Coturnix japonica: one gene and its partner. Each later gene encodes a partner of the first gene's protein in a complex. Links are inferred from orthologs where the notes say so. Each region holds a gene or a part of one and is shown on either strand. Other genes may lie near its edges.

Evidence for each region.
Region 2: the proteins of INSR (region 1) and GRB14 are in contact, whole or in part, in a crystal structure (PDB 2AUH), measured with the Homo sapiens proteins. The link is inferred for Coturnix japonica from reciprocal best matches to the Homo sapiens genes INSR and GRB14. Residues at the interface, in NP_000199.2 of Homo sapiens: Leu1065, Arg1066, Ile1069, Glu1070, Lys1112, Arg1116, Arg1163, Met1180, Arg1182, Tyr1190, Lys1192, Gly1193, Gly1194, Lys1195, Gly1196, Leu1197, Leu1198, Pro1199, Val1200, Trp1202, Ser1207, Leu1208, Lys1209, Asp1210, Gly1211, Gln1235, Asn1242, Glu1243, Leu1246; in NP_004481.2 of Homo sapiens: Glu373, Asn374, Ser375, Leu376, Val377, Ala378, Met379, Asp380, Phe381, Ser382, Ser386, Val388, Ile389, Glu394, Val398, Ala399, Glu401, Glu402, Gly403, Leu404, Trp406, Arg407.

Annotation. Positions count from the first base shown.
Region 1 is NC_029543.1:3,192,791-3,208,448, reverse strand, and holds the start of INSR (insulin receptor), read left to right. Parts: upstream 1-7,401; 5' UTR 7,402-7,637; coding exon 7,638-7,713; intron 7,714-9,811; exon of another isoform or gene 9,812-10,843; intron 10,844-11,092; coding exon 11,093-11,644; intron 11,645-15,658. Other genes in the region: vesicle transport protein USE1, read left to right, coding at 148-166, 840-870, 1,060-1,222, 2,228-2,410. UniProt on the Homo sapiens protein: Receptor tyrosine kinase which mediates the pleiotropic actions of insulin.
Region 2 is NC_029522.1:26,419,454-26,434,424, reverse strand, and holds part of GRB14 (growth factor receptor-bound protein 14), read left to right. Parts: intron 1-623; coding exon 624-745; intron 746-1,507; coding exon 1,508-1,582; intron 1,583-5,075; coding exon 5,076-5,213; intron 5,214-5,863; coding exon 5,864-5,974; intron 5,975-6,168; coding exon 6,169-6,264; intron 6,265-6,787; coding exon 6,788-6,868; intron 6,869-9,065; coding exon 9,066-9,182; intron 9,183-9,281; coding exon 9,282-9,339; intron 9,340-9,428; coding exon 9,429-9,516; intron 9,517-12,566; coding exon 12,567-12,660; intron 12,661-14,971. UniProt on the Homo sapiens protein: Adapter protein which modulates coupling of cell surface receptor kinases with specific signaling pathways. Binds to, and suppresses signals from, the activated insulin receptor (INSR). Potent inhibitor of insulin-stimulated MAPK3 phosphorylation.

The DNA of each region.
Region 1 (15,658 bases):
TTTTCCTATGGATAACCTAAATACTGGGCACAGGTGCCATACTGTGCATGGAGGCCCTTGAATCTGTGATTCCATGTGATTGTTCCTCATGAACCTTTTCACTGGCCCTTTGTAATCTTTTCTTTTGTTTCTCTTCCTGCCTCCCAGGATCCCTTGGCTCTCAGTGGTAAGTTCAATCTCCTTTTCTTTAATTGACCTGAATTTTATGAGTAAAGAAAGAGGAAAGTCAGGTGTTAGAGGTGTATTTCTAAATTACTGACTCACTTCTTGTCAAGATATAAGATATAAGATATAAAAGAAACACTGAATAGGTGAGAACATGAGCAGTGTTACCTGTACAGCAGAGGAGACTTGCAGGAATTCATGCTGAAACAGGTGTTTCAATTGTAGCATTAGCAAGGAGGGTTTGTGTTTGTCATTGCCAACGTTCTCTTCTGCTGTGAGCAAACCGTGTGATCTCAGGAGCTAACATACAGCCACGTTATTCACGTAGGGAACTGGTAGGATTTAATTTGTGGTTTCCATAGCTACTGTAACAGTGGCTGGAATGAGGCCAGTCTGAGTGTCCTGGAAGAGAACAGCACAGCCCATGGGCGAAGCCGAGCCCTCAGGGAAGTGATTCATCTCAGGTGTTTTATTCTCCCAACCAAACGTTTGCTGTTATGTACTGTCTTTTCCTGGTGGAAAACAGACGTTTGAAATCCACGTTCCCTGGTGTAGAACCAGGCCAACTGGGATTACATCTCTGGGAAAGAAAATCTTTCAAGGAACTTGTTTTATCAGCCTGTGATTGTGCAGTGTTGAGTAATATGCTAAAACAGCATTTATTTTTGTTCCAGATTCTGAGGAGCTGAATGTAAGGAAGCGGAAGTAAGTCAGAATTCCTTATTTTGATGCTCCGTGCCTTGGGACTGCCTTTCCCAATGACCTTAAATCACAGATACGTTCCCATTTGGGTGAAGTGCGTGTTGTTCTGTCAGAGTTGTACAACCTGAGCTGACCTCCCAGTGGTTCCCCATAAGTACAAATCCCTATTCTTCTTTCCTTGTGCTCTTGCAGAGGCCTTGTGTCTGATGAGAAGCAGTCAGCAGTGGAGCTGGATGCTGTGTTACAGCACCATCAAGACATGCAGGAGAAGTTAGCGGAGGAAATGCTGAGTTTGGCTCGCAGTCTCAAAAACAACACTTTGGCTGCTCAGAACGTGATAAAGCAAGACAACCAGGTAGCGTGTGTGACAATGCTGAACTCTTCAGTTGCAATCTAGGAGGTTAAGTCGCTCATATGTAAGAAACAAAAGCTGAGACTTCCAGATGAGGTTAGAATGAGGGGAAATTTGCAGGCAGTGCCTGTCTGCTTCTGCCATGCAGCTGTGAACCTTTTCTCTGTTGGAAGAACTGGTGATGAGAGCTTTTGAATTCAGAATTGAAGGTGTTCTGTCTGTAAATTATGTGTTTGAGACTGCTGGTGCTTCACTTTGACAACTGGAACTCTTTAAAATGAATTTATTTGTTAGGACCTTGTTTTTTTCACAACTTACCTACAGGTAGTGCAGTCATCCCCATGAGATAAGGGAGTCCTTACTGCTCAGGCTGTCAGCAGCATTTGATCTCAGTCCTGGGAAGGCTTGAGCACATTTTACCCTTCATGTACCCCTGCTGATACTGATGAAGGTATCAAAGGGACTTTGCTTTCAATGCTCTCCTGTGCTCTTCAGCTACCACTTAGCCACAATAGAGACCCGACACCAAGGCACAGATGTAGGAGACAAGGTAGTTTTGGGGGAAGAGGTTTAATTTGTGTCATCCATGTCAGAAAAGAAATAGCATGCACTGGGATCCAGCAGCTGTGAACACCTCCATTCAGGAGAGCCAAGAGAGTGACGTTTTGAAGGCTCTAGACCACTGCTGACTTCAAATGTAACCTTGTAGCTCTTCAAGAGCTTTCTCACGTCACCTCACTGACGTTTAAAAACAGTGACGGACAGACAGTGTTCACAGGCTCTTGGCTGGGCTCCTTTCCTGTTGTGTTGTGGTCAGGTCTGCCCATTGGTTCAGTGCATTGTCACAGCCATGGGAGGCCAGGGCAGAGCATTTATATAAAGCATGATAAATCCTTTAGCGTTCAGGTCATGAAAGCTTCCTCATTCATAGCTGAACAGCAATGAAGTGGGGTGTCCACCAGGTAAAAGATTGTTGGACTTAATGGACCAAATTCTCTTTGTTCCCAGACGCTGTCCCACTCTCTCCGGATGGCAGACCAGAACTTCGAAAAGCTGAAGGATGAATCTGACCGCCTTGAACAGCATGCAAAGAAATCAGTCAACTGGCTGTTATGGATGATGTTAATTGTCGTTTGTTTTATATTCATCAGTATGATTCTCTTTATCAGAATTTTCCCCAAACTAAAATGAAGTCAGAAGGCTCAGCTGGCGTGATGAGTGTCAGTAAGAACAACTGCCACCTGTCCTGTCCATGGCCTCCCCTCCCACCTTTTCTTGGTACTTTTTGGGTACTTTGTGACATGTTTCTCCCCAGTTAATATCACTGCCTGTTGAGGAAAGAACCTGGTTAAAGATAGCAGTTCATACTGAGCTCCTAAAAGATTCCTTAGCAGATGGATACACTCCTCTGTTTTTAATGTGGTTGTGGCAAGTGTTACAACTTCTGAAAGGCATTACTCAATAGGGATATAAATATTGCTCCGTCAATGTCTTAATTCTTTTTCTTTAACAGCTTTGCTGTGCTGGGATCTTACTGCCAACAGGATATTTAATTACAAGGTTGTGTGCATACACAGCTGTAGGGTGTAGGAAAAGAACGCTGCTATTGAGTTGCTGTCCTGGCTTGGATTCAGAGAGTGCCGACAGGTAAAATTGTTCTCAGGCTCACCTTCTGCTCAGAGGAATGTTTGGTTTTGCAGACTTGTTCAGGTTGGTGTTACTGTGGGAGGGCTGAAGTTGTGTTTGCTTCCCTTTTCAATGCACTGATGTTCTCCCTCATTGTCACTTATGTTTTGCCTTTGCATAAGGAGACGCAGTGGCAGTGTGGAACTGTACACACAGTACACCCTGTACAGTATAGATCTCCCTGTACAGGTATTTCAAGGAAGACTGAAATAGAAAGGAGGGGGGGGAAATCAGCCATTACCTCTTGGGACCAATTCTGTGGTCAGAAGTTTCCTGGTCCAATTAGGATCTGTAAGAGATACAAAGTAGAGCAAACTGTGTAAACTGTTACAGCTGGAAGAAAATAACCTGCGATAAAGCAGGGTTCACTGTAAGAGTCTCACGGCCGTTCTCAGGTGTTGGTGATTTAGCTGGAGCTGTTCTGCACCTGTGCTGCCCTTTCTGGAGTTACTGTGAGGCTGTGGGTGTGTGTTTGTGTTCATGCATGCAGTGTTGGCACTGGAGGAGCTGAAGAACCTCCCATGGCTGCTGTGCTTTTCACCATTTGCTCCTTTGGACCACGAGGTGGGGATAGTTCAGCTTCTCCGTGTGTGGATGCTGAGCGTCTCTCTTAGAGCAGAGTGCGGTGCTGGAGGTTTTTGTGTTGATAGTGGGATGTTACAGTGAAAAAAAGCCCTGGAAGGGAAGTAGCAGCCGGCCCTCCAGAAGCATTCAGTCCTCCAAATCAACATGAGTTGCCATTTAACTTCACAGTGTTGGCATTTTGTGGGTGTGTGATGGGATTTGAGACTGAACCCCATCAACCCCATCACTGCTGTCACACAGAGCAGTGCCCTATGGAGGATCATCACCTTCTGCACTGATGAACCAAAGGGATTAATTGCTCCTGTGGGCAGCTCTCCTGCACACAGTGATTGCTTTGTCAGTCAGAAGTTGCAGTCTTTGCTTTTCTTCAGTTCCTTTAGTAACGATGGCAATTCGGAGCTGCTTTGAAGGTCTGTGTGGAGGGTATTATATAAGTCACAGAATGCAGTCAGTGGGGGCACAGACAGACCTTATTTCTCCAGGTAATGCTGGTGGTGAGCTCAGTGACTTCAGGCCTCGGCCCCATGTTCTGTTGTGGGGTTCTGATGTGCTTCACTTCATGGGCTGGTGTTACACACAGAGATGGCATTCTGCAAGCATTGCCAAGTGAGAATTGCTTAACATTCCCAAAGCTTGGGAAATCTACATGGGGAGATGTTTATCAGACACAGGGCTGGGCCCTGCTCTGCAGAACACAACTCCAAGCAGCGAGTAGAAATAATAACTACTGCTAATAGTGCTGCTGTCAGAGACTTGGGCCATGTCAGGGTGGTGAACGCAGCCTTCCTGAGCCTTGCATCCTCAGGTGATAGCTCTCAGGAGGGGATGGATGGAGGTCCCATCCCTCTGCTCACCACATGCTGCTCCACCTCCCTTCTCACTGACTCCATCGTAAACCTGAAATTGAAACCTCAGAATCCAAGTCTCAAGCATGAAAGAAACATCAGCCATAATAATACAGCACGAAGGAGCAGAAAACAGCAATCAAAGCTCTCAGTCTGCAGCAGTGCTGCTGCCATTCCCAAGGCCTGCAGCTTTGTGCTGGCTGCTCCTCACTGCGGGTCGCTGTACTGAGCTGTGCTGCACGTTCCCATTGACCAACAGTGACATGACAAACCATGGGAGCTGAATCAACACCACCTGTCACATGAGACCACTGTGACATTTCTGGCACGATTGCTACCTCTTAATAGATGGAAGTGGGAAGCTGCAGCAGCTTGTGAATAATGGATTAGATATGCTTGATTTGTAACATTTACAAAGAAAGGGTGTGTCTCCTAGCGACAGAACAAACTGCTTATCAAAGTGGGAACTAGGAGTTCTATGCTGTCCAAAACACAAAACACGAGATAAAGCAACGTGGAGCACAGGGTTATGGTCTGCTGAGCTCTGCTATGCTGCCCGGAGGGGCCATCCCTCCAATTCTGACCCTCGATTAGCAACAAAAGTGCATTAGTTAATTAAAAAAACAAAGAAAAACCCCATGCAAACTGTAGCTGGGAACTGGCACAGCCAGTCGGTTGCCTGGGGCACAGTGTGTGCATACGGTGTGTGAGAGTGACGTGGCTGCAGCCACTGATGTGCACGTGGCTGCTGATAGAGAACTGCACACCAGGCATGGGGGGGGAGCTGGGGCTCTATGGAGCTGCAGGATGCTGGGCTGTGGGGCAGGATATGGGGCAGCAATGGTTGATGTGGGGCAGGATATGGGGCTGGGCTGTGGGCTGGGCTGTGTTTCTCTGCTCACTGCGTGTGCTGAGTTCAAACAGGTTGTAAGGAATGGAAAGCATCGCGTGACACCCAACCATCAACCAGGACAAAAGCTGGAGCTGCAATGGGCAGCGCTGCCATTTCCTGAGCTCCTCATCCCTGGCGGCTTTGAAGCCACGTGGCAGAGATGCCCTCTGCCATTTTCACCTCAAGCAAAGGTTGTGTTTGCTCACGTAGCGATGGAATTATCTGGAAGGATCTGACAGCGTTTCCTGTTTCAGCAGCAGAAAGATGAGGCTTCTGCCCTCAGCACGGAAGGCGGATGGGCCTCGTCCTTAGAGCTCCCTCCCTTTGGGAAGACAGCGCTCACTTATCGGATTTGGTGCGGACGGAAGGAAGGGTAAGAAAGGAGCTGGGTCACTCTGTGACGTGAAATATTTTATATTGGGAGATCTGGCAATAGTTCTGCACGGCTCCAAACAGGATGAGATGCGATTCTCAGGGCCAGCTGTGCTGTGCTCAGTGCTAGGCCTTGCAGAGCAGGCTATTCCAGAACCTTCTGTCCTCATCCTGCCAGCCATGCTCACATTGAGCTGTTGTTGGAAAGCAAGAAACTCTTCCACATCCCCAAAGAATGGGAGGATGGATGGTGTGTGCTGCACACACATTTGACTCAACAGAAATAAGGCAACCTATGCTTTGTTCCAAGCAGAACCATCTCCTCCATGGGGTAACTCCACCTCAGCACCCAGAACCTGCTCCTAAGAAACACATACATGGAGAGGAGAGAGAATGCTTAAGGAAGGAGTTGTACTTGATACCTCAGACTAATGGTTTTAGCAGTGTTTATTCAGTTGGAAATGAGAGAAGAGCACGAGGTGCTGCTGTTGGGAACAGAACCAGGAACATGCGGGTGCTGCTGGGTTATGTGATGGCAAAAGCACGATGGATACGGAGCACAGGCTGCACACCAATGGTCCTCATCAGCAACCAGAAACTAAAAATAGTGTTTGAGTGAAAGAGAATGGAGCTGCAGCCTTTAATCCTCCCCATTCCCATCGGTAAGATGATATTATTATCACATGGAAAGCGAGGAGAACGTGAGTAAGCAGAAGCAGGTTGCTATTACAGTCACATTGTGGATTCCACGCAGCTCTGGGGATGACGTGTGGCTCTTTCTGCTTTATGCAGAGGCTGATATGAGGCAGGCTGAGCTGCAAGCATGGAGTGCAGTTTTGCTGCCCATTCCCACTCCTGCCCTCACATCTTGCAGTGTTCTGGACCGAGCAGAGTTCTGAGTCTGTGGGGCTCATAAATAGAACTGGAGTAAATGACAACAAGAACAGACCTGGGGGTCTGTTCTGACACACAAAGGAAGGCAGCGCTGCTCATAGGGCCCTTCATCTCAACATCCCAATGCTCTGCAAAGGGTTTGGAGCAGCCACAGCTGCTGATCTTTGCGTGCAGGTGGCTTTGAACCAGGCCCTGTCCTTACCCCGTCCAACAGGGAAACATCACAGAGGGGTCGGGTTGAGCTCCCCCAGAACGGCTGTGGTTTCATTGCTGCTCCTCCTGTTATTCACAGCGATGGGAGAGCCCCGTGGCTCCCTTCTATAGGGATTAATGGCACAAATACTTCACACAGCTCAAACTGTCTTAAAGCAGCTCAGCACCTGGAAGCCGCAGCCCGGTGCTGCTCCACGGGGGGAGGAGCAGAGCGGTGAGAGCCGAGCAAAGCTGATGGAGGGACGAAGGTTTGGAAGAAGCTCTTTAACTGAGCGGGGCAGAATTAGCAAAGCTTTATTCCCGCAGTTGACGCAACTCCACGTCTTGTAGAAATGGGTGGTAGCAAAAGCCTGATAAAATTACTGGAAGTTGCCAGGAAACGTGCGGTAATGGGGTAATGGCTCCGTACAACCGAGCGGCGAAGGCGATTAAAAGAGGAGGAAAAGGACTCAGACGCTGCGTCCCTGCGCAGGAGCCGCCCGGGCCGGTTGTGCTGGGCATTGCTGTGCCGGATCCCGGCGGCCAACACGGCGGCACCGAACGGTTCCGCTCCGGTTCCGCTCCGGTTCCTCTCGGGCCGTTCCCCTCCGCGCTGAGCGCAGCGCCCCGGCCCGGCAGGTGGAAGCGGCCGCTCCGCTCCGCCCCCCGTCCCGTCCCGGCTCCGCGCCGCCTCTTGCCGCCGCCCGCTCGCAGCTGACGGGGGCAGCCCCTTGTTTACTGGGCAGGAGGCGGCCGCCCGCCCGGCCTGCGCTGGAGTGGCCGAGAGCCGCGTCCTGAGCCGCCGGGCCGGGCTCCGCGCTGGGGTCGGCGGCCGGTTCCTCGGGGCTCTGCTGGACGATGCGAACCCGAAGCCGGGCCCGGCCCCCGCGCCCGCCCCGCGGCCTCTGATTCGCCCCCGCCGGGACGCGCCGAGCGGCTCCGGGACGCGGCCATGGCACCGAGAGCGGCGGCGGCGGCGGTGCTGGCCGTGACCGCGGTGTTGGCGGCCTGCGGCGGCCGCGCCGAAAGTGAGTGCGGGCGGGGAGCGGGGGGACCGAGGGACCGAGGGGGAGCGGGGCCCGGGCTGCGGCCCCGCACGGCGGCGGGGAGAGGCGGCCCCGGAGCGGTACCTTTGTACCTCTGCCCGGCGGGGCAGGGCCGGGCCTCGGGGCGGGCGGCGCGGCCTCAGGAGCGGGACAGCGGGGCCCGGAGCGCTCCCGTGGGGGGCGGAGGAGGGGGGAGGTTCGGGTGACCTTCATCGCTCGGTTCGGCGCTTCGGCCCCGGGCGGGTGGGAGGCGCGACGGGCCGCGGCTCCGCGGGTGCTCCGCGTTCCTCCGGGGCCGCGTTGGGCCGCCGAGCCGGGCGGAATCGCGGGGCCTCCGCGGCGCTGCGACCATCGGCCCGTCCGGCCGCGGCCATCGGGTGGGTGTTCGGCAGCCACGAGCCGGGTGCGGGGCTCGGGCCGACGCGGGGCCCACATGGGGCGACCCCGCAGCAGGAGCCGCCGCGCTGCGGGACGGGTCGCGTGGGTGCGCGGTGTGTTGTGTGTGTGCGTGCGGGCGGTGAGTCCTGGTAAAGGTGAATGTGTTTCTTTGGAGGAAAGCACGCGGGTCCCACGGCCTGTCGGCTTTGCCACCAGCAAAGGCAGCATAGAGAGAGAATAGCTCCAAATCCACCCAGCGCAGCGATGGGCATCGCTGAAACGTCGATACACAGTGAGAATAAAGCACAGAATGCAGCACTCAATGGCTGCTCGGCTTCTCCCCGCTGTGTGCTGCAGAGCCCCGTGCTGTCCTCATACAAAGGTTTGGCATGGAGGCCTTAAAGGCGACCCCGAGCAGCTCCAGAGGAGCACAGCTGGCTGCACACACAGCGCTGGGCTGGTTGGTGAATAGCACTGCTATTAAAACACACGCTGCTCCAGCACAGCAGTTACTGATTTGAAAGCACTGTTATTGCTGCCACACCGAAACGCTGTGTTTATGTGCTTATTTAAAAGCTAATTCTGCTTTTTATTGCAAGTGTAAAAAGTGAACAGCTCGGATGGTGCTCGCTGTGTTACTCCACAGTAGGAAAGGAAATGTGCTGTACAATTATGGATGGAGAACAGGAGCGACACAGGAGGTGCAGCAGCAAAACCTGGGCTGGAATGTGTGTCATTCACAGCACAGACACTGCAGCAGAGATCTCACAGCCTCTGCTGCGCTCAGGTCCCACCTCGAAGGCTCTGCAATATGTGCAATGTGTGCTGCGTTCTGTGCTTCCACTCGCAGTGTGGGTTGGGGGGATGCAGTACAAGGGCTGTGTCAGCACACACGTGTTGTTCCCTGAGCAATGGAGCTCGTGGATGCTGCATTCTGGGCTGTGTCTGCTCCCCACTGATGGTATTCTCTGCTCCTTGAGCCTGTGGTTCCCCAATGATCATCTGCGATGGTCTGTGGGCTGTCTGTGTCATCCTGGCCCCATGGTGCAGACCCATGAGCAGCAGCTGTGTCTTGCTGAGGTCCCAAGGTTTGGTTGGTGCACTTCCATCACACTGCAGTGTTCTTCTTGGGGGGGTGTAATGAAACTTGTCTATCGTGATTCATTTATTTGATTATTATTTTTTTTAAAGTGATTTTGTTCTGAGTAACCAGAGATGGAGGAGCAGCTCCTCTCTGGCAGCAAAGCCAGTCATTACTTCGCCTAAATCTGCTTCTCGTTGTCCTGGTAACAGTAAATGCACGGCTGACTTAGCAGCTGTGGTGTGCTCTGAGCTGCTGCAGAGTGGGATTCAGACACACGATGGGGTTGAGGGCCCTGAGACAGAGAAGCAGATTTGGCTTCATGTGGTTACGGCTCCTTCTCGTGGGTCCTGGAGGTGCGAAGGAGGAGTGTGGGAGCTGTGGGTGATGCTCAGCACATCAAAACTAACCTGGAGAAGATAATGAAAGATAAACCTTAAACGTGATTCTCTCTAAAGGTGGAAAAATCTGGCCTGAGCGTTTGAATCTTCACAGGTTTACCATCCCAGCACCTTCTGTTTGATTGGTTCAGATACAGACCCATGATGTGCTCTGAGTGCTCAATGTGGGTGGGGGTCTCAGTGCATCCAGGGGCACTGAGCAGCACTCCTTGGCACTGCCATCACATGGCAGGGAGCCCCTGTGGGCTGCTCCCCGACTGCTGGGTCTGGTCTGAAGGGAGCAGCAGACCCTGTGCCTGCCCTGCTCCCCGTCCGCGTGTGGCTGGAAAGCAGTTTGTTCTCCTCCCGATCTCCTTTAGGTCTCTGAAGCTCTTCCACTTGGCACCGCTGAGCTGTGATTACGTTCCTCTTCCTCGAGTGAATGTCAGGAGCTCGTTAGAGGCTGCAGTGAAGTCAATCACTTCTCAGCACAGGCAGATTGTTGGGTTCAGAATGAAATGATTCAGAGACAAATGTGCCGATTTTAATTGTTACTAAAAAAAAACCCACCCCAGCCTTGTTGCACCGATGACATTTATTCTAGGCCTTTCCTTCCTCCCCTTCCAGCCCTAATTCTGCCATTCCACGATGCTCTGTGCCCCCACTTCTTCTTGCAGAAGGCATCTCTGATGCTGTGTGCTCACAGCAGTCCCAATGGGCACTAATGCTGCTCTGAGTCCCACAGCAGCACTGCCAGTTTGAGGCTGGTTTTTTTTCTCTCATTGCAGTTGAGCAAAGTTTTAAACAATCATTAAGACGTTTGCATATAAAGTATATTTTTAACTCACACAGCAGTGACCTTTAGTGCACCCACCAGGAGCTGGAGAGTCAGAGCTATCCAACGTCTGCACGTGCCTTAATTTTATAAGGCTTGATTATTGCCAAGTGATTTCTCGAAGCTTCATTTTACAGTCACTGCTCTGTATATACAGTGAGCAAAAAAGGTAAATATCCTGCGCTGTTAATTCTCAAGGGGAGGATGTGTTCCTTCTCTTCCCAGTGCTGCCATGTTCTCCCCATTGCTCCTTTCCTATCTTCCCCTCCCCACCACCATTCTCAGTGACCCCCCCAGCACCAATTGCACAACGCAGTGAGGTAGTTGTGTCGCTGGCAACTATCTAAAGAAAACAGACTGTGTTGCATGGACACCTCCACTTCGGTAAACGCTGAGTGACGTCCGAGGCCCGGTGCTGCCTTTCCAGTCGTGGTAGAGGTAATATCCACAAACTCAAGATGGCAGAACGTTATGAAATCCCCATTGAGTCGTGTTTTGTAATCATATACCGGGGAGTGTTCCCAGCTCTATTTCTTAACGCTCGCAGCGTGTTTTGTCGCACAGGACCCGTCCGTGTAGTCTGAATGCAGCTGCATTTTAGGATACAGTTGGAAGAATGGGTGTGTTTAGCCAGCTAACGGTCACCTTTATAAGAACAAATAAACAGCATTGTTCTTTGCCTCCCAGTTTGCAGAAGCATGGACATCCGCAACAACCTGACCCGGCTGAGCTTGCTGGAGAACTGCACGGTGATTGAGGGCCACTTACAAATACTGCTGATGTTTAAAACCAAGCCTGAAGATTTCCGCGAGCTCAGCTTCCCCAAACTGACTATGATTACAGACTACTTGCTTCTGTTCCGTGTGTATGGCCTGGAGAGCTTAAAGGGCCTCTTCCCCAACCTCACGGTGATCCGAGGAACACATCTGTTCTTTAACTACGCGCTGGTCATCTTTGAGATGGTTCATCTAAAGGAGATCGGCCTCTACAACCTGATGAACATCACGCGCGGTGCCGTGCGCATCGAGAAGAACAACGAGCTGTGCTACCTGTCCACTATCGACTGGTCGAGGATTTTGGACTCCGTCGAGGACAACTACATCATCGCCAACAAGGATGACAAGGAGGAGTGTGGAGATGTGTGTCCTGGGACGGTGAAAGGGAAGAGCAACTGCCCACCCACCGTCATCAACGGCATCTTCATCGAGCGCTGCTGGACCCACGACCGCTGCCAGAGAGGTGGGTGAGCTGCAGGGCAGCTGAGATGCTCCCATCAGCTGTTACCCATCCATGTGAATAACGTGCCCAAAAGTGCCGTGTTTGGGTTCCCTGGAAAGTCAGGGGCTTCCCAGAGCTCCCAGTTGTGCTCTATGGGTGTAGCTGTTGTCTGTGTCCTAGTATTAGGAATTCTTTTGGGGCTGTGGGATTAAAAGCCTGGCTCGATTGAAAGGCGGATACAGAGCAGCAGGGAAAGGTCTTATGGAATAAAGCTGACTCCGGAAGGATGCAATAATGCTTTTACTGAAACCTTCCTGCCATAAAAAGGTGTGAGATGGGTGGGTGGGTGAGCACTGTTTGCACACAGCAGGAAGCTGGGAGAAGGGGAGGGGAGGAAAGGCCGGGTTTGGTGCTGCAGAGCTGTGTGCACAGCTGCCATCCCAGCCCCCAGACTCCAGTTCTTGACGTCCTTAAGGTGGCTTTGAACTTCATACAGGTTTGTTTCTTCCAAACTTGAAGCTGACCTTAATTTTGGTTGTAATTATACGTTTGGTTTGATTTATGTGAAATCCACCCGACGAGAAGCAAAGCGAATTGAGGTGAAAGTGACACATTCAGAGCTGTCTGTCTCCTCGGTGGTAGTGCATCCAAATGAAGCAGTGTGTCCTAAGATGAAATTAGGAAACTTGTGGGCTGAGGAAAATTTCTTGCCAAGCTTTAAAGGGCAAATCCGAGTGCTGAGTGCCAGATTTCAGAAGGAATTCCTTGCAGTATGCAGCAACTAATGAAATTAATGTGGTTTCCCCTCTGCTGCTCCTCACCCCAAATTGTCTCGCTTCCTTTTAAAGAAAGTGGTTATTTTTTATTGCTGGAATAAGAGGCTTTGAGCAAGATCATGTGAAAGTCTGCGTGTGTTTCTTCTCTGAGAGGAAACGTAAGGTTATGAAGCATTTTAGTTTGGAAGCTCTTTTGGTATACAGCCATTATCAGCAGTGCACCTGGTTTGCTGTGCGTTCATGGTCTGTTTTCTTCTGTTGCCCAGAGTTAGAGGTTGAACTGAAGCAGTTTTCTGTGTCTGGAGCATTCATCATCCCTCATTCCTGCGAGTTTTGGGGCTGTGCTGCAGCAGACTGGGACGTGTGGCTCTTCTCCTTTACGTGACTGTTTATTTCCATGAAACCTGGAGGAATTTAACATTGCACCTCTGGGGCAGAACCCTGCGTTCTGAGCCCCTCACATCAGCTCAGCGTGGGGTCCTGGGGGGGGATAGCAGACATTGCCCCACGCTCCATTACCAAAGGGAGCCAACCTGAAGTATCCATATGGTTGGAATTGGAATTTGGGGAATTATTCCAGGTGTTGCTCTGTGCCAAATCTCCTTTTGGTTTTCCGTGCTCCTTGTCCTTGGGGCAGTGATGCTGCGATGCCTTTATTCTGTCGTGGAGGTACATTTCAAAGGCACCTGAGTGAGTCTGACGTGGCCTTGTTGTGAACGCTGCTTCGTGCTCTCATTGGCAGCTGGTGCTCACCAGGAGGTGGTGTCTGTTCTGCTCTGTGAGGCCTTTGGCCCCACTAGTTGGTGGGACTGTTTCTGAGCGTTCTTTCAGACTTTGTTTTGACTTCTTTCTTAATTGCCTTTAGGCTTCCACCACTGACTGTGCTGTAGTAGCCATGGCAGAGGCTGCGGTATTTGTTTAGAGAATCTCTTGGTGGAATTGCTGCATTCCCTGTTCTTTGCCAGCCATAACGTATCCTTCATGCATGTAATTGCTTTGTCATAATTATTACGAGCTCGTGGCTTCCCTTTGCCTAAAGAGCTTTGCAGTGGCACTTAGGACCGAGGGCATCAGTGTGGGCAAATCTCTCTGCACTCAGGTGGCTTATCTGGGCCTCTCAGCACTGAATGCTGCAGCGCCCAGCATCCCCTGGCCCTGCCCTCCCTGCCCACTGTGCCCATGTCCCTTTGCTGCTCCTTCTTTCAGCCAATTCCCATCTCCCATTTAACTCCAGCACCGACTGAGTCACAACGTGCTGTTATCTCAGAGCTGCTCCTCCAGTCCTCGGGATCACACTGTGCAGCCCAGCAGTGTTTCAGTTGTTGATAACACATCGGAGGAGACAGCAAAGGGGAAGATCTCCTTGCAGCCATGGGAGCTCAGGCAGCACGTGGAGGAACTGAAAGAATGTGTGGGCAGCTGTGTGCTGTGGGACGGCCAATTGGTGATACTGGGGAGTCTAGAAAGGAACACACAGGGTCCGCCTATAGCAGCGTGCAGGTGGGTGTTGCTGAGGATGTGCTTCCCCTGAACCCTCCTTTCCTTTATTCTGCGTCGCTCGTGTTGGTATGAAAAGTGAAAAGCCGTTCAGCTGAGGCCAACTCATGTTGTATTTTGGGTAGGAAGGGAGAGAAATATGCAGTCGGTTTGGAATTTGGGTCTAGCCTTGTGCTGCTTGTAGCAGCCAAAGGCTGCGCCTCTTCTGGAGGTTCTCTGTCTTTTCAGCCCACGTTTTTATAAGCGTTTTTTAACACAGATGTACTTATTTTCATTGCTGTAGAGATTGGGTTCTTAGTTCAGTGCAGCGTCTTCACTCACAGCTTCTCTGCTGAGGAATCCAGACAAGAAAAATGCTGGAAATGCCACGTCCCAGACCTCAGCTCACATCTGCCAAACATGATTTTCATATTTGGCATTTTTTTTCCTCAATGCAATAAGAGCCCTGTACGTCTGTCACTGCTCCCACGGAAGGAACAGTTCCCACTGCAATAGGATTTCCTGCCAGCTCCCTCTGCGCTCCGTCCTCTCTGGCCGTATGTAATCTGAAGCAGTCTGATGTTTTCAGCAGTCCCTGCTTCGACCTTCTCCTCGTGTGCTGGGTCATCCAGAGGTGGAGGGAGGTAACGGGAAGGAAAAGCGGAGCATCTGAATCAAACTTAACAGGAAAAGGATCCGTAATATCAGACAGCTCCTCAGTGAGCATCTCCTGGGATGGGAGAACACGTTATCCAGAATACAGGGTGCTGCCCTTCCTGGAGCACACGGTGACGTCCAAGTTCTCCCATTCATCCTGAATGAAACCTTTATCAGTTTCTGCCATCTTTGTGATGTTGCGACTTTGTGCTGCCAGGCATTGGAGCATGGGCAGCTCCAATGGGGTTTGTATATAGACTTTTCCCCCATCCTTGGAGGTGTTCAAGACCAGGTTGGATGGGGCCCTGGGCAACCTGATCTAGTAAATGTGTATGTTTGGTGGCCCTGCCAGGCAGAGGGGTTGGAACTACATGATCCTTGAGGTCCCTTCCAGCCTGGGTCATTCTGTGATTCTGTGATTTTCATGTGATTAAAAAGGAAACTCGTCTGTCGGTCAATTAATGCAATCAGGAATTTGTTAACCCCATTAAAAGGCAGTGGGAGGTATATAAAAGGCAATGGAAGGTACATGAAAGCGTTGGGCCCAGCTGAAGAAGCGGGTAGAATGGAGCAGGTAGAACTGAGAGCCTTTTTGGAGTACTTGGCACGTAATGGAGCTGCTACAGAGAGGCGCTGTATGAAAATAATGATGCTTGTCTGGATTTTTGACTGATGTGTAAGCAGGTCTGGAGACAAAGGGTGCAGCCAGATCTCCCTTTCATTTTCCTGTGACCTATCCAGGAAAAATAATGGGGCAGGTGGGGGGCAGGTAAGGATCTGAAGGTTTGCTTTAGCAGCTCGCTTTGTTTCCTGGTACAGACAGCACAACAAAGCATTGCTCAGCCCAAAGTGTTTTTCAGCTGCTGAGAACCAGCACTGAGTGCTTTTCAAGGGACTGTGCCAAAAGAAATGCTGAAAATACGAACATCTTCAAGGCAGGTTTGAATAATAAAGTTCAGAGGTGTGTGTGGGAAACGTTTTGTGATGTTTACTTAGGTAGAAATATTACTTAGCAACAGTTTCCTGTAATTTTTATGTGCTGGGAATTTCTGTAGCCATAAGCTTTGCTTTATTACCTTTCTATGGGAAAGGGGTCTCAGAGCACTGAGCAGACCGAGCCAACCCC
Region 2 (14,971 bases), on another chromosome or scaffold:
TGAATGCTAGTGCTACACCTGCTAAAGTTCTCAGTATCCCTGGTTTGTACAAAAAAGCATTAAAATGCCCTGTGTGCATCTGCGGTTTTAGAAATGCTTCAGAACATTGCATGGACCAAGGAAGAAGGCATCTTTTCCATGTTGTGGACAGTTTACAGTGTATGAATGCTGCATTAGAGACAAAGGTGTCAGAAAAACATTCCTTATGTCTTAGGCAGGGTGGACAGAGATGAGCTGTTAAGGTGATCTGCTTCCTGCTGCCCTGGGCAGCACATGTCAGGAGCTGCCTGGATTCTGTTGCATGGAACACGTGGATTGGTTTGTGTAATGTACAGACCCTGAACAACAAACCAATGCAAACAAACAAGAAAACCAGCCACAACATGAACTACATCAGACATTGAAGCTGAGCCCAATTCAGTGGGAGTGGAACAATAACTTGGTGTAACGTGGACCTAATTAATGAATTGTGTTCAGATTACTGGTTTAAAGTTTTGTAACATACATTATTTTAATTGTCTGACCTCTCTGTTTTCATGGTTTGCTGTTGTGCTCTTAGGTGCAGATTATGTGCTGGATTAATATCATTATGATTGATATATATATATCATTTTTTTTAATAGGAAGAGCTATAGAAGACCATGAGGTAGTGATGGAAGTCCAGTCAAACTGGGGAATGGAAGAGGAAAACAAATTTTATTTTAGGAAAAATTATGTCAAATATGAATTTTTTAAAAATCCGGTGGTAAGTCGTAACATCTGATACGTGAAATGGTGTACATGGTGTTGCTGCAAAATAGCATTTCCTGTTAGTGCAAGTAGGCTGTAAGGCTGTTAGTGTAATGTGAATTTAAAGGAATTATTTGGATGGTATATAAAGAGTGTAAGAATATATTGTAGTGTATGTAGCTGTTGGCCAATAACTTTTTTTTTGGGGGGGGAGGTGCAAAGTGAGAGACACAGACTTCCTTGAAATTTGCACACTGTGGAATTTTTGACCTCTCCATATTAGTGTAGTCACATTTCGGTTCTTATTCTTATAATTCCAAGTAGACCGTTCAGAACAAAACCCCCAAAAACGTGAAAGGACTTGTTCTCTCTTAACAGGAGTTATAAAATATTTTGGTAGGATTCTAGTGTAATAAAAATAGTAGAAAACTGTGCTTTCCAGCATGTTGGTGTGTATCATCCCTACTTTGCAGCATGCTGAAGCCCCTGGTGAGTCCTAGTTGTCAACAGCTGTAGAAATTACTACTAGAAAAACACTGGGGGCCAGGTATTGCAATATGACTTGCACTGCTGTATGAAACCTTTTTGCTTTTGCTCATATTTCTAAGTTACTCAGCAGATAACACATAGTCACAAATTTAGGAAGGATACTAAAGTAAGCTTTTTTTTTTTTTCCTTAATTTTTATTTATTTATTTATTTATTTATACATCCAAAAGAGAAACAAAGTTTAATATTTATTTTTTACAAAACTTTGATATGAATTATTGTCATTGCAGAGCTTTTTTCCTGATCATATGATATCTTTTTCAAGTGAGACCAATGCAGCTGTTAAACACTCTGGGATATTACAGGTACGTAACCTTTAGAGGAGATGAACCATATATTTTGCAATTCACAGTTGTCTATATTGGGTGAGCACAGCTCTCTGTCACTGTAAGATCTGATGGTAGTTTTTGTGTAGCTCAAAACATGGTTAATATCTTACTTTCCTTATGAAATATGGAGTATCCCTTCCAGACAGTTACTATATGACTGTACTTGGAAATTGGCACATTCTTACAGAAACAAATGTCACAGAAATAGCTAAAATGCAGTAAAGAAAAAAATGGCCAACACCTGTATTGAATTCTTCAGGTTAAAGTTTTCTTGAAAGATTGTAGTGCTGGAATAATTATGACATACAGCAGCACAACAGTAGAATACTGAGAAATTGGTGATGTGATACAAATGGATATAAAAAAGAGTTAAATGTTTGAACTTAATGAGTAGAAAATTTAGACTGACTAGTATGATTTGTTAGCTTGAAGGCTACTGTAACCTTACAAAAAAAAATGGTAGGTCACTCAGTGTTAGTCATCTTTTAAGTGGACACAAGATTTTAATTTACAGTGGGAATAATTTCACAGAATGACCATATCAGGGATCATCATCTTACTTCTGAAAGAGGGGAAAAATGAGTAATAAAGGTGGAAACATGCACATCACTCTTGTTTGCTTGTCACTGGGAAATTTAATTAATAGAAGAACTTTCACTGGTCTTAAGACAACAACCCTGTGTGTGAGTTTTGGGGATAAAGAATGATTGGAAAGGCAACACAAGAGGGTATATTTTAAGGTAGAACTAAAATTAACATGGAAATTAAAATATACTTCTGTGCATCTACACAATACATTCTACCAGTAAATGAAAAATATTAAAGAACTAAATTTCAAGGCATTCATCTGTACTAAATAGTTATATCCTTACATATATATTTTCTAATATTTATCTATTTGCTAGTATTCTCTTATTTATATTTTAATACACACATGTATATATATTTAACATAAAATATTTTATATTTATGTATTACATATATTAATACGTAAAAAAGAGGATGCTAACAAATAGATAACCCCCAAATGTAGTTTTAAAAGTTCTGCATAAATTGTAATTGCTGCATACTGTGTTATATGAATCATTTATATGAACTTAAATAAAAATTCTGTAACATCAAAAGATGTTACGTCTTTGATAAAAATTGACTCAAATTTTATGTAGCAAATAGATCATGTAGTTTAATGCAAGCATTTAATTTCGTCATCAAATCTCTTCCCCCTTATTGTGAGAAATTCTTTTTTTTTTTTTTTTTTGCTTGCAAACAATCTCATATTTGAGTATTTTAAGATGAAACTGTTTGCCATTTATACCCGTGCACAGAACCTCTTTCAGCCCGCAGAACAGAACATATGTGGTATGTGGAAAATGTGCAAGGCTTGTGGATCAGATTGAGAATCCTTTTGAATATATATATAGTTCTCTCCAATTTTGTTAAACTTGAAAATTGCTTGTGATCCCTCATCTGTTGCTATTTTATGTTGTATTGTATGTTTAATTGCATTTGGGCTAACAAAACTTGGTAGACATAAAGACCCACTCAGATTTGTAGCTACCACGTTTGTTTCAGCAGAAGCTCTTCAGTCAATAGTTTACAGTGGGTTGCTATTTCCTTGGAAACTTTCATTAAGACAAGTTAATGGTCTTGTGTTATTATTTGTGATGTGCTCGGTCAGGTATCAAGAGAGACATTAATCTTAACAAATCAATGCTTACAAATGATTAAAAAATCACTTCTGATACTTTTATAGCTTTTTGTGGATTGACCTGTAAGCAAGTAAAATGTTTTTCAAGTATGATTTTCTTGACTTTCACAGAAAGCAAAAGAGGAAGTTTTTTTGTCTCATGACTTTAAATCAGAACATCTAAATGGCCTTAAAAAAACAACCAACAGCAAACAAAATGTATACCTGCCTCCTCTCTATTTAGCATGTGCTAAATAGAATCACTGGTTCCAAAGTATGCCAAATGTCTATATGCAACAAGATGGGGTATTAATCTTAGCTATAAAGATCCTTAGCCTTAAAAAGTAAACAAGTTTGTGATTATATTGCTTAGAGCGTGAGCGTTCCATATGCATGTGTCTAGTTGCAGTCACTTTGGGTTACTTGGAATACATATTTACTTATTTTTGCAAGTAGGATGCCTTGAAATAAAATCAATGCAGTATGTAGATTTTAATTAGAAACCTCAATGACAATGAAATATTCTATTATTTTTATGTATTGAGGGTTTTTTTTGTTTTGTTTGAGAACTGGTAACTCTCAGGGGTGGGCAACAAATTCATTCACTTGGTTTGATTAGATGTGAAACTTGTGTATAATTTTAAGTAGGACTTGTGACTTGTTTAAAATGTGGTCTGTTTCTTGGAGCATCTCTTGGATGTGCATTGGCATATTGGAAATATGAATTCCTTTGCATACATAGAAATTGGAAAGTTCTGGGTTAGTGTGTTTAGGTGTCAGTCATAATTCTGATTGGTTTTACTGAAGGAAGAGGAACAGAACTGAATATGTTAAATGGAATTAGAGTACAATTTTGTAGACAGAATAGAACTATATATTTGGTCTTCACTAGGTGACAGCTGTATTGCTCTCTATCAGTGTCTGGCTAAAATGGCTAAGCAGAAGTCAGTGGATGTCTTGAGCAGAGACTGTGCAATTAGCTGAATTGCACAAAATAAAAAACTGAATTAGCTCCTCTTGGTGCATCAGTTAATTTCTATCCATATCATTCTGACTTTCCAAGGGTCTGTGACTGTGCAAGCCTATGGTTCTGAAGACAAAAGGGCTGACCTTCTGAGTCTTTAAACCCCTCCTGTCTTGCTCCTGATGCAGATTTTTTCAGCCAAAAGCTCTCCACCACATGACCTTGAATGCGGGCAGTAAATACCTGCTGTAGCTCTTGGTACAACTAAAGCACCCGCTTTAGCATCACATAAGGTCCAGAGACCTTATGTTTCCTCCTCTTTAGAAAATGGTAGTATCCTCCAGACGCGTGTGGATTTGTGATAAAGAAATTTTGTTTGCTGAATTAATTTTAATTCGCATCAGTTCCCTTTTTTGGTCTGTAGCAGGCAGGGGAGGGTGAGGAGAGATGTCATTTTTTTTCCTTCTGTTGGTAGCATTGATTTGCAGTTTTATAAAAATAGGGTCTGAGGTATGGGATCAGAACTTCTTACACTGGTTTTGTTGCTGAAGTCAACATATTGCATAACTAATGTTCTCATTTCAAACCATATGTTCCATATAAATATGTAGCTTGCCTTGCATACCTTGGAGTTATGTAATAGTCTGTATGCTTTAAATGAGAGGTACTCTTAATGGGGTTAGATCCAATAACTGAATTACTGTGGTGTAATAGTGTTATCAGCAGTATATTCCTCTTAGTCTTGTCTGAAGATGATAATGAAATAGCAAGATGACCTCAGATAAAAAGAGAAATGTGTGGCTGATATTTTCTTTCAGATGTTCCTAAGCTCCAGCACATATCCTGAGATTCATGGTTATTTACATGCAAAAGAGCAGGGAAAAAAATCATGGAAAAAATTATACTTTGTTTTGAGAAGATCTGGCCTTTACTTTTCCACTAAAGGTACATCTAAGGTAAGGCAAGGAAAAAAACACCAGAGGAAAGAACTCTGAAGTTAGAGTGCGTGTATATGTATTTGTCATTTAATACAGTATTAATTCTAATTTAAATTGTACATTATGTGATTAAAAAGGAAATGTTTTGTATTCTATCTATTGTAATGGGAAAGATTCTTCTTATTTATTTATTTATTTATTTATTTATTTATTTATTTTTGCCTGACTTAATTAGAGTTATCTTGGAAGATGGAGGTAATAGCTACAAGTAATACTCAACAGTAATTACTGCAGTGTGATGTTTTTCAAATTCTAAAAGTATATTTTATTTTGATGGTTGAAATGAATTCTACTCCCAAAACTTCCAAATTCTACTCCTACTGTGACGTGAATCTAGTAGATATTTTCCCAGAAATCTGATGCCTTCTATACTTCATGTTTTCTGTCTGGAAGAGCAAACTATTTGACCAGTTTAAGGTATTTGTTCTCTGCATTAAGAAGTGAATTTTGAGTTGCCTCTTTCTAGATTTCATGAGACAGCATCACAGTTAAAACTGAGATGTAAGACCTTATTTTGGAACAAGAGAACTGCTGTACTATTCTGAGTTTCTTATCTGGAGATGCTAGCTAAAAGTAGTCTAACTGTATTACATTGCTCTTCTTTATAGGAGCCAAGGCATCTGCAGTTTTTCTGTGAATTCAGCAATAGTGATATATACATGTCTTTGACAGGCAAAAAGATTTCTGGAGCACCAACAAGCTATGGATTCTGCTTTAAGGTACAAGCTTATCATTCTGATACATATTAAAGCAAGCCACAGTTTTTCGGTAAGCTTAAGTTTCTTTAAGGCTTTTGAAAACAATGTTCAGCTGTCTGTTATAAAATAGGAGAATTAGTGGCTTTTATTTCAACAGGTATTATCTTCAAGATATGCTTTAATGCTAAAAAAAAAAATGTGCTGTGGCCTTCTAGCCTAACAAATCAGGAGGAACCAGAGACCTGAAACAGCTCTGTGCAGATGATGAACAAAGTAGGACCTGTTGGATGACAGCAATAAGGTTGTTTAAGGTAACTTTTCTGTGTGGAGTTAACTTCTTTCTCAAGTTTACTATGTTAATTTTTATAGTGTGAAGTAGGGAAATAACATAATTATAGGTTCCCATGTAATAGCATTATCAATGCTATCAATGTACGACAAAAGCTGAAGTTTCATCTCACCAGACAGGCCAAATTACTGGAATAATCGTAAGGGAAGGGATGCACTTATATGTAACTTTGCTGAACTTAGAGACAATGTTGGTAATGGCAAACAAAGCTACAAGAATACATGAGATGTTTTAAAAATGTGTTTGTGGAAAAAACAGGTGTAGGTCAGTTGATGTATTAAATGAGCAGAATTTCATGTAGAATGTACGTTTAGAAAAACTAAAGCAAAAACGATGTTGTTTTTCATTATCTTAACAGCATTTGTCCCTACTTTATAATGATAAAAAATCATGGAATCATAGCATTGCCTTCTACACCTGGAAGAAAGTTTCTTCGGCTCAGGCTTATGGTTTAAAATGCTAACCATATTATTTTCTGTTTTTAGTATGGGATGCAGCTGTATCAGAATTACATGCAACCATATCAAGGTAGAAGTGGCTGCAGCCCTTTGAGTATAACACCTATGGTACGTCCCACAGTAGCTCCATGAGTAAATATACTGTTTCTGCAGTCATGCTATTTTTAAGTGACTTTTGCCAGTTACACTACTGACCTGGTCCTGCAGATTTTAAATGTGCTTTGAATGTGTGAAATCTTTAGGGGCATCTGAGTAGATGAGAGAGCTAATTAATTAATTTACTTATTTAATATGAGTTGGGCAGTTCAGACCAGTTAGCAGGCTTTTCTCTTTTGTCAGATAGTCAGTATTTGGGGAGTTTATTGGCTTATTATCACTGTCAGTGAGGATTTAAAAAAAGTAGCAGAACTGTAAATGCATTAAAAAAGAATAACGTGCTTAAGGTTACATGTACTGTAAACGATGAATAAGAAAGCCTTAACAAATCCTTTTCAGTATGCGGTAATGCTTCTGTCTCTGTCTTTTTTCTTTTTTTTTTCTTTTTTTTTTTTTTTTTTTGTAACTGCCCCATATGGTTATTTATTTAAATTGGATTTAACCTGTTGTGATACTGCCTGAAGCTCGGAGGAACACCATAATTTGGCAAAAGTGCATTTTGGAGGCATAGCACTCTGTAGACTGATGATCTGTTTGTCTCCTCAGCCAGATAATTTGGGATCAGGTTGTCCTTTTAAAACCTTATCTTACTTATCCCAGTCACTTCTTTTTTTTTTTTCTTTTCTTTGTTTTTGAGTGATGTATAGCACTTTGTGCTTTTTATGGTTTAAATTGTGTAAAAATTGCTTGTTGCCAGGATCCATTATGATGTTTGGTTTTTTTTTGTTTGTTTGTTTGTTTTGAGCTTTTTAATGTAGTTCTTGCTGACAAAACACTTAAGATGTGTATCTGCTTTTATGGGGATTCACAAAAATACTGTTTTCTGATATTGCTGATAAGCACGGCTTCACAATTACACTTAATATACAGACTATTTATACTGTCTGTTACAAGAAGCTAATGATAGCCAGCTGCTACTTTCATAATGGGTGTGGGAGCCATTATTGATTCTGTCTCCTCTTGCACAGCCACATACACTATAGCACATCTAGATTCTAGTGCCAAATATATAACTGGGTTAAGCATGATACAATTATTATACTTGTCTAGAATTTGTGAGTTAAACAGAAAATAAACTCAAGAATGAAGTGATTAAGCTATTGAAAATAGAGAAAGTGTTTTCATAGAGAAAGTATGTTCAGGTTTTCATATTCCAGATTAGTTTATAACCTTGCCAGCAACAAGAAGTTCCCTCGTCTCTCCTAGAGTCAGACACTGTCTTATTCTCCCTATTATTTTGCTTTTGCCGAGTGTCACAGTTACTCAGACCTTAGACTACAGTGACCTGTAGAATTACTGCCTTCTGTTTCTAGTTACCCTTGTGCAGGGACAAAACAGAGCTCCTTTGGTTTTGGACAGAAATCTGGGCCTCCTGTGTTCTAGATGTTACTTCAGTTCCGGAAGGTTCTTTTAATTATTTGTCATAGCAGCACCAGCCAATGTTTGAGACATTACAATCAGCATCAAACAAGTTTTTTATAAACCTGAATTTCAAAGTAGTGTTTTGGTGAGCTTTAAGACCTGAAATTGTTTTTATTCTGTTGTTAAAAACTTGATATTCACTGGGAGGGAAAGAAAAATCAGGCTTTTTTTTTTTTTTTTTTTTTTTTAAATACCAGATTGCATAATTGTTGAATTTGTGCTTGTTCTTTGATGGCCAGGAATTTGAAGGGGAGTATTAAAACAGAACTTAATCTCCAAAGAAGTGCCTGTTTCCAGTGCTTAAATGCAGTAAACTTTGAGGGAAAAATTTTACAATAAATACATAAATTATAGCAAAAAACTTTAATTCTTTGCTTATATGATGATTACGGGTAGGATTTTCTTATTTTATCTTTTTTTCTTGAACTACTTAAGAATAGTTACCTTACACATATAAGTAGAATTTATGTTAAAAGTGTGTATAGATGTATCACAGTTCTGCAAAAAAGATGATTTGTCCTGCCAAGCTGTGAAATTTAGTTCTGTAGCAGTGGACAGGGCTGTACCTGTGGTATAATGAGTTTGGCTGTGGTGGGAAATATTGCAGATATTTGAAACGCTGTTTATAAAACATAGCACTTACTCAGAAGCTCTATCTTAAAACATGGATCATTAGTTAAAATAATAAAATAGAGAAACAGACTAAATCTGTTTTTCTTTTTTGCAGAGGAGCATTTCAGAAAATTCTTTAGTTGCAATGGATTTCTCAGGACACAGAAGCAGAATTATAGAAAACCCAACAGAAGCCCTTTCCGTTGCAGTTGAAGAAGGATTAGCCTGGAGGGTATAAACATCTTTGTTTTATCAGAATACTGTTTCTCAATCTTAACTTATTTATTTTTTTAACAAGAAAATATTGAAATCATTTTTAATTCTCACACAGAGGAGAGGCTGTCTGCGACTCAACTCACATGGTAGTCCGATTGCCATGTCCAACATGGGTATGTGTGATTTATTTCATTACAGAAGAAATGCAGCAGTTGTTTCAATAAAGCCAACGTATATTTTTAAAATATCTTTATTTCTACAGCTATTCACAGATCTCAGTCATGGTTTCATCATAAAATCTCTAGAGATGAAGCTCAGAGACTTATTTTACAGCATGGGCTTGTAGATGGGTAAGCTAATTCTTTAAATAACCCTTCTGAGACATATTTCTAGCCAACAATTCTACTTTTTATTGTAGGAAGGAGATGGAGGAAGAAAGATTTTGCACTTACCTAATAGAAATAAAAATTCTTTTATATAGGGCTATCTGGGGATCAGTTGGTTTCTATTTTATGTCTTTTGGAAGCATTAAAGTGGTGATCTAACACTTCAGTTCTGTCACTGACAGATTACTTGTGTTCTCTCTGAGCCAAGCATCTGAGCTGTGTATTTGCACAATATTCTCTGTGACCTTTCAACTTTGGCACTGTTCTCTTTTGTATCTCTTATTAGTGATGAAAGAGTGAAGGAAACTCGGAAAGCTGCCTAACCTTATTCCAAAATGAACTGTGTAGGGATAGCCATTGGAAAAGGGTATGCCTTTACTTGTAAAATGAGTAAAGATCCAGCTATCTCTTAATGGTAAATAATGAGTATTAGGGTAAGGCTAATTGCTTCTATTTTTCTCTCATTTAAATATTCATTCAGAGAAAAATGACAGAATATACATTTCATTATCAAACCCTGATATTTTTAATTTTTGTGTTTTTATTTCTACTCCTGTATAAATTCTAGACTCCTGTGTAAAATTGGGCCACATTCATTCAATGAGTTATCCTATTAAACATTCTTGGAGCTATTTGCAGATAAGCACTGTGATTTTGGTGAGAACAACAATCCTGAGTGGTCTGTTTAGAATTGATTATAAAATAGTTGTATCAGCAATCATAAACTGGTGTTTATACTCACGAACTACAGTGAAGACATAAATGCATTACAGTATACATTGGAGAAAAAATATTCAAGTTAAACCTTTTAAGGTGCTTAAAAGGTAAAACTGATTCCAAGCAGAGATCTGTTATGTATATGACGTATACTATATATACCAACAAATACACTGTTTATGTGGCTAAAAGAAGGTGAAAGGACTAGTGTAGAAAGGAATAAAGATTTCAGTAGTTGAAATAAATAAATGACAGTTACTGACTGCAGAAATCATATTCCTTTATAGCACTCCTTATTTCTTTTGGATCTACTGTTCAAATGTGGAAGAAACATTTTTTAAGGCATTCATGTAGCAGCATTGCAGATTTTGAACTTTACCCCTTTACATTTAAGGACTTTTCAGTGATAAGTAGTTGACAGGATTGCAAACTGATCGGCCCTCAAATAGATGAATAGGATAATAGCATTTCCAAAAGGCCCATGACAAAATGCAATTGGTCATTCAGAAAATTCCTTTTATATTTTTGAGAATGTTTTTGGAGTCATCCAGCACATCTAAAAAGCTCCCCCTCCAACCAGTATTTCTAAGAGTATATGAACTGCAGCCCTTTCTTGACAATAAAATGATCTTTTAAAAGCTTCTTCAATTAAAGCCGGTTAGTTTTGATAGGGTTAGGAAAGAGTGAAGAACTTTTTATGTATTCCAGCAAACAAAATGACAGACAAATCCTAATCCACCTCCAATTTTTTCACACACTTTGTGATTACTTTGCATGTTGTTTAATGTGAGTCGTGGTATTTTCATATAGAGAACTCAAGTTGGATGTTTGAAAAATGGCACATGCTTATCATTTCCTTTTCTTCTTTTCTCTTTCTGAATTAAAAACAAAGCCAGTTTTTAGTGACAAACATGTAGAAAATATAAGTTTACATGAGAGATCTCACTGTTTTTTTAAAAAGAAAAAAAAAATAATTGATGTCCTGGAAAGGGGTGAAAAGCCACTAGATGGTGAGAGAGAGCTTATTAGGAGAACCTGAATGTACTGAGAAATATTCCTCCTTATCTTACTGTTGTATGGTGGGTTGGCAATTATCCCTCTTTCATAACTGAATTCGTATCAGCGTTCTGAATTAGTCTGAATGAGGGTTTTGATAGAAACGTTTTTGATAGAAACGTTAATCATTCTGAACTCAAAATTTCTTAATTTCAGATGTTTTCTTATGTTTGTTGTAAAAACAGAACTCATAAAATATTCAGAATTAAAACAGTAGTACTCTGTAATTTGGATACAAGTTGTTATCCTGTGAAACTCCACTAAAAGATTTTTCTGTCTTATTTTTTCTCCTGAAATCGCTTCTTTTCATACAGTTGTTGTGCTCTTATTTCTGATATGTGGTTGGGAAAAAGCTGGTGGCTGGTGCTTGTTTGACATCTGCAAGTCTATATTACCCGTTTCTTTTGCCTTCTGAAAAAGGCAAATGCTTGCCAATGACTGTCCCTTCGTTTCTCTTCTTTGGTACATTTGCTAGCTGTACCCACTCCAGACAGTTCAAACTTTTCACTAAAAAGCCGTGAACCAGGTATTTCCCTCTGCCCACCAAACTGTTCTTCCCTACTGATAGTACAAAAACTACAGTCCAATGAAATTAAATTCATCCTTTATCTGCACCAGATTACTCTACAAGGTTATGGCAAAACTACGTATACAGTCTGTCTGAAATCAAATAACTAGTTGCAGTGACACTGTTGACCATTGAGAGTGTTGTGATTTCAACAATGGTGCTATGAAATAGACTGTGACTCTGTGGGAATTGGAAATGTTGACAGTGTACAGAAATGAGTGTGTATTTATGACTATAGGTAAGGTGAAAATCATTTTAGTATGTCTTGCATTACCTTTTCTGTAGACTTCCTGTAGAATTTTAACCTTTTGATTTTCTTTTTAAAGTTTGAGATTTAGGTAACTGTCAGAGTCCAAGAAAAATTTTGTTTAAAGCACAAACTTTGACGGTGTTTTTCTGTCTGATGCATTATAATTCTATGCAGCATAAAAACAAATGCCTGCAGTGTTATTCGTGCAGATTTTTCACATAATATTTAAGGTGAAAAAGAATTTAAGGAAAAGTATTTTCAGTGACAGTTTTTCAAAGGAATATTGATCAAAAGCATGATTTTTGTAATTAATGTTATTTCTGCTTCTCGCGATGCTTACTGTTTCAAAACTACAACAACTTCAGAGGATATTTACAAAAGCTTCAGAGTAATCTTAATCTGAAAATTTTCAATCTGTTTTAGGGTGTTCTTGGTACGTGATAGTCAAAGTAACCCCAAAACATTTGTGCTGTCATTGAGTCATGGATTAAAGATAAAGCATTTTCAAATTGTACCAGTAAGTAAAACTTTCAGTTTCCTTTTACAATTGTAAACCAATACAATCAAATAACTGTGGTATCTTCACCCCTCCCCACCCCCTCCCCTTTGCTGCTTTAAAGGAGATATTGAATATACTAAGCATAACAGCTGTATCACCTGAATCATAAATATTCTGGAGTTGAAAATTTATGACATTTGCAATTGATTTGTTATAAATCTTGATTCTCATTACGTAATCCTACAGTTTAGTTTACCTAATAAATACATTGGGAAAATGCACAAATCTATTTGAGCTGAAATAGAAGTAACTGTGATTGCATGAAGGCTGTATTTTAATAAAGATCATAATGGCTTTTCAGACATTCATGTAGGTAGATTTCTTCCACCTGTATATGTGTATTACTTCCTCATCTGTCTAAATGTTTGGTTATTACTAAACCTTTTTTTCAATCCCCTCTTTTCACAATTCATGTTTTTTGGTATAATCATGTCCATGTATTCTTAGGGAGGACAATTTTAAAAAAAAAAAAAAAAAAGAAAAAAAAAGGCTTACTTAGTCCAATTACTTATAGGTAAGCTGAAATTTCTTCACTCATATTTCCATCAGTTTTCAGTCATGACATCCAGTTCTGTCTGAATGGACAGTCTTCCTTGTCCTTTCCACTTCCTCTAGAGGTTTATACAGGAGGTATTGTTGACTTTTTTTTTTTTGTTGTTCGCTTTTTCAGTCTGCTTCTGTTGGGATGAGAAGCCTTTTAACATTGTCCATTTTAGCTACAGATGCTTGTCATAATTGAGAATACTTGCACCTTTTCTTCTATCTTGGCAAGAACCTTTCTTCCAGACCAAATCACTGAATCACAGAATCACAGAGGTTGGAAGGGACCTCCAGAGATCATTGAGTTCAACCCCCTCTAGCTTCCATATGGTCAAATATGGTCATTCAGAAAATTTCTGTATGCCTTACCTAGGGATGGTACCTAGTGCACTCCCCCACCCCCCAAAATAATAAATATATATATATATATATATAAATCTGTAAAATAAGACTTAAACATTATTTGAAAGAGAAAAGAAGGCAATCAGTGTCAAGTAAAATGCAGTTTATTGGGATTTTTGTTGTGTTAATTACAGACAATGAAAGAACCCTTTCTTCAAAGCTGATATTTATATCCTGGTTCCTATGTGAGTATCAGCATATACTCAGTGATCAGAATCCTAGGTTTAAGGTCTCTGTTTCTATTGACTATGATTGCTTCTAGTATTTACTTTAGGATAACTGTTGTGTGGTTTAGAAACCCTTCTGAACTCTGTACAAATATTGTATGACTCTACTTCATTGAGACGTCTTTTAACTCTTAAATTCAAGAAACCCCTTTTTCTTATCAGGAAACAGATATTCTTTGCTCTAAGAGCAGATGTGGCAGGAAGCTACCACAAAGCAGCAGTCTCTATATGTTTTTTGGGTTTTTTTTTTCTTACATTTTAGCTTACTTAAGATTAAAAACATCCTGGATAGGATGTACATCCTGAGAGTTTGAGTTTTCCCTGCTTTAATTCTTGTGTCATATTAACATTAGTAACGTGCAATAGGTATTGCAGGAGGGTGGCAGGGAACTGATTGTAAAAAGTTCAAAACAAAGGAATTGCAAACTACTTCCAGACTTGGTAGGAAGGGGTAGACTAACCAGAAATCACAAAACAGCTCAACAGCTGCTTCAGATGTGAACTCTTAATTGCAGGTAAGAGATGAGTACATTTTATCCCACTGTACTCAAGTAGGATAGTTGCATCTTCCTGTAGTACAGCAAGTCTTGCTCTGTGCCAGCCATAGTTCAGAAAGCTCTGTTCATTACTCTCTTAATGTTGTGTAATATTTTTTTCCCTTTTAAGGAAAAAAAGCTGTGTTTTCCACTTTCTTTTGCCTTTCCTGCACTTGGTCTAGCATGTACTTTTCGCTCAGCAGCAGTACTTTCTTCTTCAAATAGAACATATTATTACATCAAGCATGTTATTTTTTGATAGACAATTTCTTATATAGTTAGTTTCAACCAGTAGACAAATGCACTAGTGTGCAGCCACATGGCACCTTAGAAAATAAGTGATACTGGAGATAGAAGTTCTATGGTATACTGAATGGAGCTAAGGTTGAAAGGTATTAGTAAGCTGAAACGGGGTTTGTTGTCACTCTGTTAAAACTGTATTTATATTAACTCTAAATATCACGCCAAAGCAAAGGCATAAAATAATATTACCAGTGCAAAAAAGAGTATTCTGATGCTTATCAAATTATTCTTAGCCTTTAGGCATGGATCTATCTTAGAGGG